3 linked regions of the Schizosaccharomyces pombe genome follow. The protein of the gene in region 3 binds, or shares a complex with, the protein of the main gene of each other region. Each region holds a gene or a part of one and is shown on either strand. Other genes may lie near its edges. The genes, in order: csl4, rrp42 and rrp43.

Region 1 (3,677 bases), on a different chromosome or scaffold from region 3:
TTCGAGCCGTCATTAATTTTTCATTCAAAAACTAAGATAGTAAGGCACATCGATAACAATCTAAAGTTGTGAAAAAATTCTTATAAAACGGAATTCTTAAATACTTATTTCTTCCAAATTATTTAAGCAAACCTTCAAAAGAAGAATTATCCTTCAATGATTTAAACTCAACAACTATCAAATGAAGTAATTCAAGAATATAACTGTAGTCAAATATATACATCTATATTCCCCACGTCCATAAGATTTGTATATTTGTTTACAACGGGTATTTTTAGTTAGAAGAACGGTTGCTTGTAATGATGAGGAAGGATTCGTGAGCCGGATATAGCTGGAATAATGTTCAATACCTTTTCCTTTAATAGATCTATTTTACAAAATAAATTTCGTTGATTAATAAAACAAAAGATCATTTAAAAATCGTGCGCTTCACAAATTACTTTAATTTTCTTTTGACACAAGATTGTGTTCCTTTCCAAACTAAAAATATAATTGGGTTACTTCTTATATTGATAGCAAAGTTAGCTTCAAAATTTTAAGACAAAAAGGTGTTTTCAATTTGATTAGTTTATTAAAATTCTTGATTTTTTTGTTTTTGCTGTATGTTTTATAAAAAGTATCATGTCACTTGAAATACATGCTGTAAGACTACCTACTTTTGTTTAGCACTACCATACTGTAATACAACTAATACTTAAATCACTTTATCATGAGTCTTGCTGATTTTATGGAACGTAAGTGTCAAATTTTCAATAGAGAATGAAGTGACTAATATAGATGTTCGTTAGAAAGGGTTCAAGTCATTACAAACGATGGTCGCGTTGTGCTAGGTTCCCTGAAGGGATTCGATCACACGACCAATCTTATACTTTCAGACTCATTTGAAAGAATTATTAGCATGGATCAAGACATGGAAACAATTCCTTTAGGCGTTTATTTATTACGTGGAGAAAATGTGTAAGTGGACGCAGAGCCTTGTACTGGCGGTACGTAAATCAATAATCTAATAGTTATTTTTAGAGCAATGGTTGGATTAGTGAATGAGGAATTAGATTCAGAAATAGAATGGACCAAAATTCGAGGTGAAGCAATACCTGACGTTGTGCATTAATACAAAAACCGGACGTTAAACTTCAAATGAGAACAAACGTTTAAGGCTACATAGGATTTGGGTTAATGATTTTTTTGTTATATTTCCTCTTTGTGCGGGCGAATCCTTTGCAAATTTTGTTAAGCTTTCCACGATATATTCATACCTTGCAGCATGTCTTTTATCAGGAAGCTATTAGCTCGTAGAAAGAAGTGAAAATTCTTTCTTTATTTTTTTAAAAAAATATGACTGAGGTTGTAGATTAATTCTGATGACAAAGAGTTGACACTTGAACGAAAATACTTAAAAAAATGGTTTAAAATACCGAGTTCGAGGACATCGGTTCTTTCAGAATTTAAAAAATTCTTGGTTTCTTGTTAAATTTGTGGATCACAAACTCATTTTTCTTCTTATTTTGTGGGTTTCATCTTTCTTAAATGATTCTTGGGAACGTTAACATACCTTTGTTTCCTTAATTTGATTTATGCACTTTGATTTTGAAATTTGTGGTCAACTTGTTTAAAGACTTTATATTTATCATTGATTTTTGTTATTATATGGAAAAAAACATCACAATTTATATCATTTACTGTGCATAACATTCTTCATTTTTGCTGTCACGCTTAATGTTTACACTGGAAAATTTCTCTACCTTGAGAAATATTTCAGCATCATGGTCCAATTTACAAAGATCATTTGAGTTAAACAAAAAAAATGATTTATTATATTTGCTGCTCATATTTTTTTTTTAGTGATTTTTTATTTTGGCATCGTTTTGTGAACTTACTTTCCAAGCTTTGGGATTATCAAGAAAAAATTTTTGTTGAAAGAAGAGCAGAAAAACTGTTTGATAATTAAATGCCTTTGCAATTTCATTTTCTCAATTTAGCAAAATAAACTGAAATTTCTGCAGCAGTGACTTTAGGTTACATTGTAACCTACAGTTTACAACGACCTTTGTGCTTACAGCAACTTTTTTTCAATTAATTTTTTACAGCCATACAAAACGGACTTGATTCCTTTATTTTTAGTTTATTAAAGCCGTTAAATATGAATTTGGTTCTCCCTGGACAGGTGGTCGCGAGAGGGGCTCCTAACGGTGAAGGAACGGTAAAGAGAGGAGATTATATTATTTCCACACGAACTGGCATCTTTGATCCAGAGAAAAATTCTGTAACGTACCCAAGAAAAGTTGAAGAGACAGCCGTTTTACCTAATGTCGGATCTATTGTTTTAGCTCGCGTCAGCAGGATCAATGCTCGTCAAGCAACTGTAAACATCTCAGTCGTTGACGATGTCTGCACCAAAGATGAATTTCAAGGGGTAATACATGTGCAGGATATTAGAGCTACTGAGAAAAATAAAGTCAAAGTGCAAAATTCATTCCGACCGGGTGATATTGTCAGAGCACTTGTAATTTCACTTGGAGACGGCTCTTCGTACTTTTTAACAACAGCTCGAAATGATCTTGGTGTGATTTTTGCTCAGTCTAGTGAAACAGGAGAGCAAATGTTTCCGGTGGATTATCAGCATATGCAAACAAAATCAGGATATACGGAAATGCGTAAATGTGCTAAACCTATATTAGACGAATAAAATGAGGGGATAAAATTGCTTTGTTTTGATATAACCTGATAGTTTTTTTTCCCTCTCGGTTCGTTCTTTCCTAACAAAAAAAAAATTCTGAAATTGTTAGAGATTTTATGATACGAATATACGGAACACGGATAAAAATAATATTGAATATAGAAATATTGGAAGTTCATTAGAATGATGATTGAGGTGACTTGCTGTCGAAACCGATATCATTTTCAATTAGAAGTCAAATGTATAGTTTTATAAGATATAGAGAACCTTTGTAATTCAACTGAACGGACAGGAGCTCTGAAGTTTCTTAAAGTTATTTACTTAATGGAACTGAATTGGTCGGTTGTTTATAAACTCTAATTCATTAACAAAAACATGAATAAGGAGTTTCTAGCAATAATATGTGTTATGTTTACAACTTTCTAAGAAGGTTACTGTATTAAGTTATTTTGTGTAATTTAATATCGAGGATTGCACCTTTCATTGGAGGCTGTGATATCCTGAAATAACATTTATGATCACAGATTTAAGGATGAAGTATTTAATGACATGAAAATTAGTATTCGTACACCTCTCAGTAACTTTTCAAAACTACTTTCAGTTTTTACATTAAGGGATTGGATGTACTTTTTATACACAGTTTTATAAAATACTAGGTTGTCTCTAAACATCAAGTATCATCTCAATCTTTACTTTCGGCCATTAGACTGATATATTTTATATCAATTAATTAGTAGACAACTGTTTCCAGATTCTCATATAAGCACGAGAGCTTCTATTCTACCCGTCTTTTCCGTATATAGCTGTCATGACTCATTAAGCTACTCCAGCGTGAGACTATCAAATTTAATCTCTTCATCCCTAATATTTGTTTGTAAATACTTATAATTGCAAAATATTCCATTACCATGACATCAAATAGAGGATTCTAAATCCAATTCGCAGGTACACTGACTTTAATGGATTCTGGGCTAGTTCCATAAAAAGGGATTGAAAGGTT
Region 2 (3,758 bases), 900 kb from region 3:
CGTTTAAAAGACAAAAAAGCCTCGTTATCAAAATTGGGTTTAAAAAATCATAGTAAAATTCTATGTATAAGACCACATAAGCAACAACGAGGTTCCAAGGAAAAAGACACGGTTGAGCCCGCTCCGAAAGCGGAAGCGGAGAATCCTGTATTTTCGCGTATTTCTGGAGAAATAAAAGCCATCGATCAGTATGTTGACAAAGAACTTTCCCCCATGTACGACAATTACGTAAATAAACCGTCGAACGATCCAAAGCAGAAAAACAAACAGAAACTAATGATAAGTGAACTACTTTTACAACAGCTTTTAAAATTGGATGGAGTTGACGTACTGGGCAGCGAGAAATTGCGTTTTGAACGGAAGCAACTTGTTTCTAAGATCCAAAAAATGTTGGATCACGTTGACCAAACAAGCCAAGAAGTGGCCGCATAGGCTTTATTATTTTTATAGACGTTACCATTTCATTTCCCTTAAATTATTCCCATCTACTATACTTGCTATATGACTTTGACCTAAACGAAATACAATGACCAACCATAGTAACCAAAAATACCGATGCATGCCTCTTCATGTAACAAAATTGATCCTGATTCCGTAACCCAAGTATTGCATTTATATATATATATAGAGAGAAAGATGCTATTATATAGGAAATGGAGACCAACCCAACCCAATTCATTTATGGAAGAATATCAAAAAATCCTAAACCCTTAAAAGATAGAATATCGCTGCTGGCGTTCAAAAGCTTAGTACCAACGGTAGACGCAGTCTCTAACAATTCTATATATCGCTCTACAGTTATTGCACGTCCAGTGGATGCGTAGCCTCCTCCAGTACCCACGACCCTGGTATAGCTAATAGCACCACTAGCTTGAACACCAATCGCATATGTCACTTGAGCGACACTTGATTCCTCAATTGTAGGATCAACAATTATCACTTGATCAATGCTACTAACCAAAATTATGACTGACATTAATTCTAACCCTTGCAAAGGTAATGCATTTTCCCATTCTGAATCAACATCGTATTCTTCGGAAGGCTCATATTTAGTAGATCCAATAGTGATGTCTGTGACATTGGGGGTAGAAATTTTAGGTAAACGTGTAGTCTGTAATGCTAAATAAGCAGCAAGACTTAAAGCTGAAAGAATGTTTTCGTAAGGAGACGAAGAAAGTATTACAACAGCATCTACGTGAATAATCCAAGCTTTAGATGGTGTAAATTTCAAATAGTCGACAGCAAGTGCGTTTAATAAATCCTGAAGGGCACTTGTAAGGAATGAAGGAATTTCATCGGTTTCACGATTCTGGATTGAAACAGATGGAGAACTACATAAAAAGTGTTAGCATACCAGCTTTTTTCAATTGATTCATATTGTTTGTTACGCCAAACAATGTTAATACGAACTCCAAATATCTCACGTACATTTCAACTGAAGCGACATATTTACCACCTTCGGGAGTAGCATCACCCACTTCTGCTTTTACACCTATGACTATCTCCACCGAAGACGCCCATTTAACTCTAGCAGAACCATTTGTACCAGGCAGAACATCTACTTGTCCAGAAAGCGGACGAAGCTGGTCTATCGAACGTCCATCATTCCGAATTGCAGGCTCAAATTCTGTTATTGATTTGTGTGTGTACGATAGTTCTGGTAATGACAATTGCATATGTTGGCTAATGGTATATCGTTTAAGAATAATTTTCCTTGCAATATTGCGTTGAGTTCTTGCGTATATTCTAAAGTTCGTTATGTATGCTACGCAGTTTTGTATCTGTTTAACGATATGCAAAACCGCGATAAGTTTTACATGTGATCTGTTATATTATAATACATAGGTATAACGGCTATGAGTCATTGAAAATATTGGTATATGTAGGTATTATTTATGATCTATTTCTGTTATTAGCTTCTGACTAAAGTGAGGAACGAAATTTAGTTTCCTATTTAAATTGTTGAACATATAAACTAAATATTTGTTTCAGATATCAAATGATTTGCCCCAATATCTATCATCTACGAGGCTATGTTTAAATAGAACATGTTCCAAATGTGATACACAACGTAGTAAATTATAGCGTTGTCAGTACTACTGCGACATGTTTTTTTATTAGCTAAGACTTGTTTATTGACACAGCAGAAAAGGCGCATTCTCTAAAAATTTCGCAAGTTTACATCAGTTGAAAATGCTTGGGCAGTTGGTGCTTCATTATAACCTATTCCTTCAAAATTTTGGATGCAAAACCTACGCTGAAATATTATTTACCACTTTGATGCAATTTGGCCGAGTAGCAATAAGATCATATCTGGTGTTCTGTTCGATAGCGTGCCATCTGTAAGTATCCATCCACAAGCAAGTTGGGCCTATTGGATCATGGATTTAAAGACGTTGTCATCGAAATAAAACTATCCAATTTCTTCTTTGATATAGAGCTAGTTCACTCGTTGCCTAGACCTATTTAGTTAAGGCTGTCTGTAAAATTTACCAAACGCATCAATTGTGTCCCTGATAACGTGCGTCGATTTTGGATTGTCAAATATGATTACAGTAGATCTGTTATTAGCTTGCAGTTCTCCTTTGTTCTCATGCGTAGATGTGATAGAATCCTCCCATTGCTATAGCTTCTAACTGAATTTAGGAACGTGATTCGATTATAAATTATTTATAATAATCGATTATTAAGGGATGTAACGGATTGTCAATATAAACAGACAGATCTCACTAGTATTTATACATTTGTGACACATGTTACAAGACGTAGTTCTCCATGATATACTGTACTATTGCAAACACGTTATTGAGATTAGCGTTTGACGCTAATCTGTCCTATAAAAAAACTACAAAAACTGTAGAACAAACAATAGCTATAAGACAATGTTTGGTACATGATATTTCATATTCATGATTTGAGATCATTTAGAGACTATGTGCAAAAATAAAAATTCAAAGAATGTATCCATAAGTGAAATTTGATTAAAGATGAGAGATAAAATTTATGGTGATAATCGCAGATTTTTTAAAACCAGGGAAGAACGTTCCAAGATAAAAAAATAAATTCTACCACCGATAAAGCAAGATTAAAAGTTAAATGATTAAAATAAAGAGCAGAAAATCTGTATGTGAAAGTAAAAACCGACAGAAAAGATTTATATACAGTCTAAGGAGTTGGAGATATAGGTTGGTAGCGTTGTTTGCTAAGACCAAATAATCCAAATCTCCTGCACAAATAAATTGAGAATAAAATAATGATAGTTAAAGCAACAGGAATCAAACCCAAATAAAGCCATTTGTAGTTTCCATTACCTAAATCCGGAGAGGGTTTAGGTACCGATGGTAAGCTGGCAAAGTCATTATTAAAGAAAGCAGTAATCAAGGTCTTCATTTCATTAGGATGATCGTATGGAACCATGTGACTAGCTTCAACTATGCGAGCAAAGGTCAGGTTCCGGGAACTAACATAGGAGCCCGATGGTTGATCAGAATAGCCCGGAAGATAAAATGGTTGAGCAGATTGATTTTGAAAACCAACAGCACCATTCCACTCCAGTGATCGGGTTAATTTTTCGCCAGATAAATAATTACAAAGAAAGTCATTTTCGCCGTAAAACAACAAAATAGGAACCGTAGATACAAGGTCCTGGATTAACTTAGATGAGGACTCAATCCCTTCACGAGCATATTGTAGGGCAACGTCGTCATTACATTCTTCCCAATCATGAACCTTTTCGAGGTTAACGTTTAAGGAAGTCA
Region 3 (3,740 bases):
CCATCCGGCAACTGTTCGTTCTTCGCTTCTCTATGACTTTTTTACTATTTCCGTAGTATTTGTTATCACTTAATCTCCACATTTTTTCTACATCGGACTTCAAGTTACAGTACCACGTGCCGCCCTTATTTTAAACGAACACACCATCAGCTTTGCATAGACTGTTAAATAGCTTATACAATTTAGTAAAACTGTGTAACTTAGATATATTGGAAAACAGTATCATAACAGTAAAGATTTAACCTCAGCAAATACTTGCCACTTCCAGTTTAAAGTGTAGGATGAACTTGTAAGCATGATAAAGTTGAAACAATATTCTTGTTGCGTAGAACCTTTTTCCTAGATCAACGCAAAAACAAAATAACTTAAAAAAAAAGAAAAGAAATTCGGATGCAGAAAAACTATATGTGCAAATACGGCGGGAGTTACACAAATAATTAAACATATACATCAGCCAAAAGATGTTTACTGGAACATTAATTGTTGAGACTTACGCAGATTGACCTGTTCACAGATGCGTGTTTTTTTTCAAAATACTCATACTTATTAAATTTCCCACCAATTTCTTAATCCTCAAATTCTATCGAGATTTCTGGGTTAGAGTGTGAAACTTTTTCAATATCAATACTAGGTTGTAACGACATCTCTTTGAATAATGATTGACAAGCTCTTGTACCATTGCCCAATGCAAGAACGTCTGCTTTTTGCGACGAGGAAAACGAACCGTTTGTGACTCGAGCAAGTCCGTAAAGAATCTTCCAATCCATAGGCTTTACACGTGATTGCATGCTTTTGCTTCCCTGTTCTTGTCGAAAAGTATCAACCGAATCAAAAAGGCGTTCCAATTTTATCTGTAACCTTTCAACCAAGTATCGGAGGCCATCCGGATTAGGCAGTTCCTCAGAAGAAGCCATTCTACCCAACTTGTGTAATTTTTTTGATGCTAAACGCACAGCCAAATATGCAGCCTCTTGGCGAAACCTCGAAGCCGAGGTTCCATCAAAAAATGATTCATCGGGGATGGAATGAATTGTAGGCCATACTGCACGTAGACGTGGTGGAATCCTTCGTTCATAACCGTCCAAATCGCTTTGCAATTCATTTCGACGAGTTATACCAGCTTTATAACTGCAATAAAGTTGAATACACAAATTTTTCATCTCAGATCTTCTCAGTTCGGAAACAATTTCTCGATACTCTATTAGCTGTGCGTATAGAGCATCTTGCTTTCGCATTTCTTTTTCATCCGAAGTATCCTGAGAAGAGGAAATATCCTCTTGACTTCCTTGCTGCTCTAATTCTTCCTCAGAATCATTCATAGCATCATTTCCTCAGAAGGTTTAGCATCCGGCTGTTGTGTTCGTAGGCTAGAGGTTAAGGAAAGGTCATTGTACCTGGCGCGATATTAAGTGTGTTTACTGACTTTTTTTTTTAATTTCCTTTAACTATAATCTAATAGAAAAAAACTTTTCCTTTTTTTTATTAATATAAGACTTTTGCTTCGTCTAACAACCGATAAACTAAGAGTGTGCAAATTTTGAAATATAAACATGCACCCAAATAACTTACTTTAATTTAAGAGCTATATATTATGCTACTTACCAAATTCCGTATGTATTCTGCTGACTTTTAATTGTTTAATTATGCCTTATTTTCTTTAACCATGGATCATTGTAAATTTTGTTATTTTACCTTTTTTTAAAAAAAAAAAAATCAGTAGAAAAGGCCTTAAATAAATTTTTTTCGAATTAGCATTTTTAAATGTTAATTATGTGATCTCTTTTTTCAAAATCGTTTAAACGAATTGGGATTTTGTAGCTAAAATTCAAATGAATTATCAATCCTTAATTGAAATTTGCACCGAATATACCTTCAATAAATTAAAAAAAAACCAAGGAATTTAAACATTTTAAGGACCTCACAAACCTTTTATTTACCATATAAGTTTTTCATACTTTACTTCGTACACCTATTTCATCCCTCTACTCCATTTCATAATTTCAACCTGTAGACAAAATTCAGCACATATATCGAATTCTTGTGATTCATATTCATTTTATATATTTTTCAGTATCGTTCTTCAGTTATTTGGTCTTTCTACGTTACTATATCATTTAGCTTCGTTATTGAAACACTACATTCTTTTCACATCATGAAAACTGTTTCGGGGGTAAAACAGCTTTCATTTACACCTTCGTAAGTTGCTCTTTGATTTCTTATTCTATCTTTTTTAGTGCTCTGTTTCCTTTTCACTTTGTTTTTCTTTGTTACAGTACTAACATTTTACTGGATAGAATTTTTAAGAAAATCACGCCTGAGCAGTATTTATCACATCTTCTTAATCAGGATGTTCGATCAGATGGGCGGTCTGTATCAGAATTCAGAGAAATTGTAATTAATGATAATTGCATATCTACTGCTAATGGTAGTGCTATCATTCGAGCTGGCGAAAATGTCTTTGTGTGTGGAATAAAAGCAGAAATTGCTGAACCTTTTGAAAACTCTCCCAATGAAGGTTGGATTGTTCCCAATCTTGAATTATCACCTCTTTGCAGTAGCAAATTTAAACCTGGCCCTCCTTCTGACTTGGCGCAAGTTGTCTCGCAGGAATTGCATCAGACTTTGCAACAGTATGTATCAAATTATTGGAATTTTTCTAATTTTCTACCATACGTTTCATTTATTGTTAAACTATCATTTAGAATATTTAGTTACTTTTACTAACAACTTATACAGATCTAACTTGATTAATTTACAGTCCCTATGCATTTTTGAAAAAAAAGCAGCCTGGGTATTGTATGCTGATATTATTTGTTTAAATTATGATGGAAGTGCCTTCGATTATGCATGGGCAGCTTTGTTTGCCGCTTTAAAAACTGTTAAATTACCAACTGCTGTTTGGGATGAAGATTTAGAGAGGGTTATCTGTGCTTCTACCCTTACAAGACCAGTTCAATTAAGTACTGAAGTTCGTTCTTTCTCATGGTCAGTATTTGACGACAAGTTGTTAGCCGACCCTACAGACGAGGAGGAGGACCTTTCAACTGAATTTTTGACAATTATGCTTAATAGCTCCAAAAATATTGTTAAGATAATAAAGCTTGGAGGCACTCACATTCAACCCCTTTTATTAAAAAAGTGTATTGAGGTTGCAAGGTCTAAGTTCTAACAAATTTTTGGGTTATCAAGGTGTATAAATTTTGAAAGTTTGAAAATATTCAAGTTCGTTTTTAATGCTTGAAACGTAATATTGATCTTGCTGTAATATAAAATACTATAGTCATAAAGCTAATTGATTTTCAAATGCTGTAGGAAATTTTTTTTATATAACTTATGAACCCTGTTTATCTCCTTTAACCAGTAAACTTTTTTTTGTCAAACTCTAAAACACAAGCATAGGAAGAATGATCAACTCAATACCCGATTTATTTACCAAAATCACGTTGAATCTTTTCTTTGCTGCCTTCACCAACATATCCTTTGGCGATGCCACTCTGTCCTTCGTATAATTTACTAGGACCTTCTCCTTCATCTACACTGTCAAGTCCCGACCAAGATTTTGACTGAAGAAACGCCGCTGCTGGAGAGTAAACCCCGTTCACTGCAAGACTTCTCATGCCACGCTTTTCTATAGAGGCTGAGGACGAGTCATTATTCTTTGCATCGGCAGTCTCAAGAGTAACGTCTAAATGTCGCATCGGGGTTGAATTCACAAACTTTCCAGTAATCAGACTAAAGTG

The links.
Region 1: rrp43 (region 3) and csl4 share a complex: the UniProt entries of both Schizosaccharomyces pombe proteins name them as parts of the RNA exosome complex.
Region 2: rrp43 (region 3) and rrp42 share a complex: the UniProt entries of both Schizosaccharomyces pombe proteins name them as parts of the RNA exosome complex.

The regions. Positions count from the first base shown.
Region 1 is NC_003421.2:2,277,193-2,280,869, forward strand, and holds csl4 (exosome subunit Csl4), read left to right. Parts: upstream 1-2,075; 5' UTR 2,076-2,140; coding exon 2,141-2,686; 3' UTR 2,687-3,094; downstream 3,095-3,677. Other genes in the region: U6 snRNP-associated protein Lsm8, read left to right, coding at 710-734, 789-957, 1,021-1,111. UniProt on the Schizosaccharomyces pombe protein: Non-catalytic component of the RNA exosome complex which has 3'->5' exoribonuclease activity and participates in a multitude of cellular RNA processing and degradation events.
Region 2 is NC_003423.3:4,229,871-4,233,628, reverse strand, and holds the start of rrp42 (exosome subunit Rrp42), read right to left. Parts: upstream 1,689-3,758; 5' UTR 1,677-1,688; coding exon 1,429-1,676; exon of another isoform or gene 1,363-1,428; intron 1,332-1,362; coding exon 680-1,331; 3' UTR 433-679; coding exon of another isoform or gene 1-432. Other genes in the region: BAG family molecular chaperone regulator Bag101, read left to right, coding at 1-432; kex1 (serine carboxypeptidase), read right to left, coding at 3,166-3,758. UniProt on the Schizosaccharomyces pombe protein: Non-catalytic component of the RNA exosome complex which has 3'->5' exoribonuclease activity and participates in a multitude of cellular RNA processing and degradation events.
Region 3 is NC_003423.3:3,331,182-3,334,921, reverse strand, and holds rrp43 (exosome subunit Rrp43), read left to right. Parts: upstream 1-1,976; 5' UTR 1,977-2,152; coding exon 2,153-2,196; exon of another isoform or gene 2,197-2,294; coding exon 2,295-2,630; intron 2,631-2,736; coding exon 2,737-3,169; 3' UTR 3,170-3,240; downstream 3,241-3,740. Other genes in the region: RNA polymerase I upstream activation factor complex subunit Acr1, read right to left, coding at 567-1,319; dph2 (diphthamide biosynthesis protein), read right to left, coding at 3,426-3,740. UniProt on the Schizosaccharomyces pombe protein: Non-catalytic component of the RNA exosome complex which has 3'->5' exoribonuclease activity and participates in a multitude of cellular RNA processing and degradation events.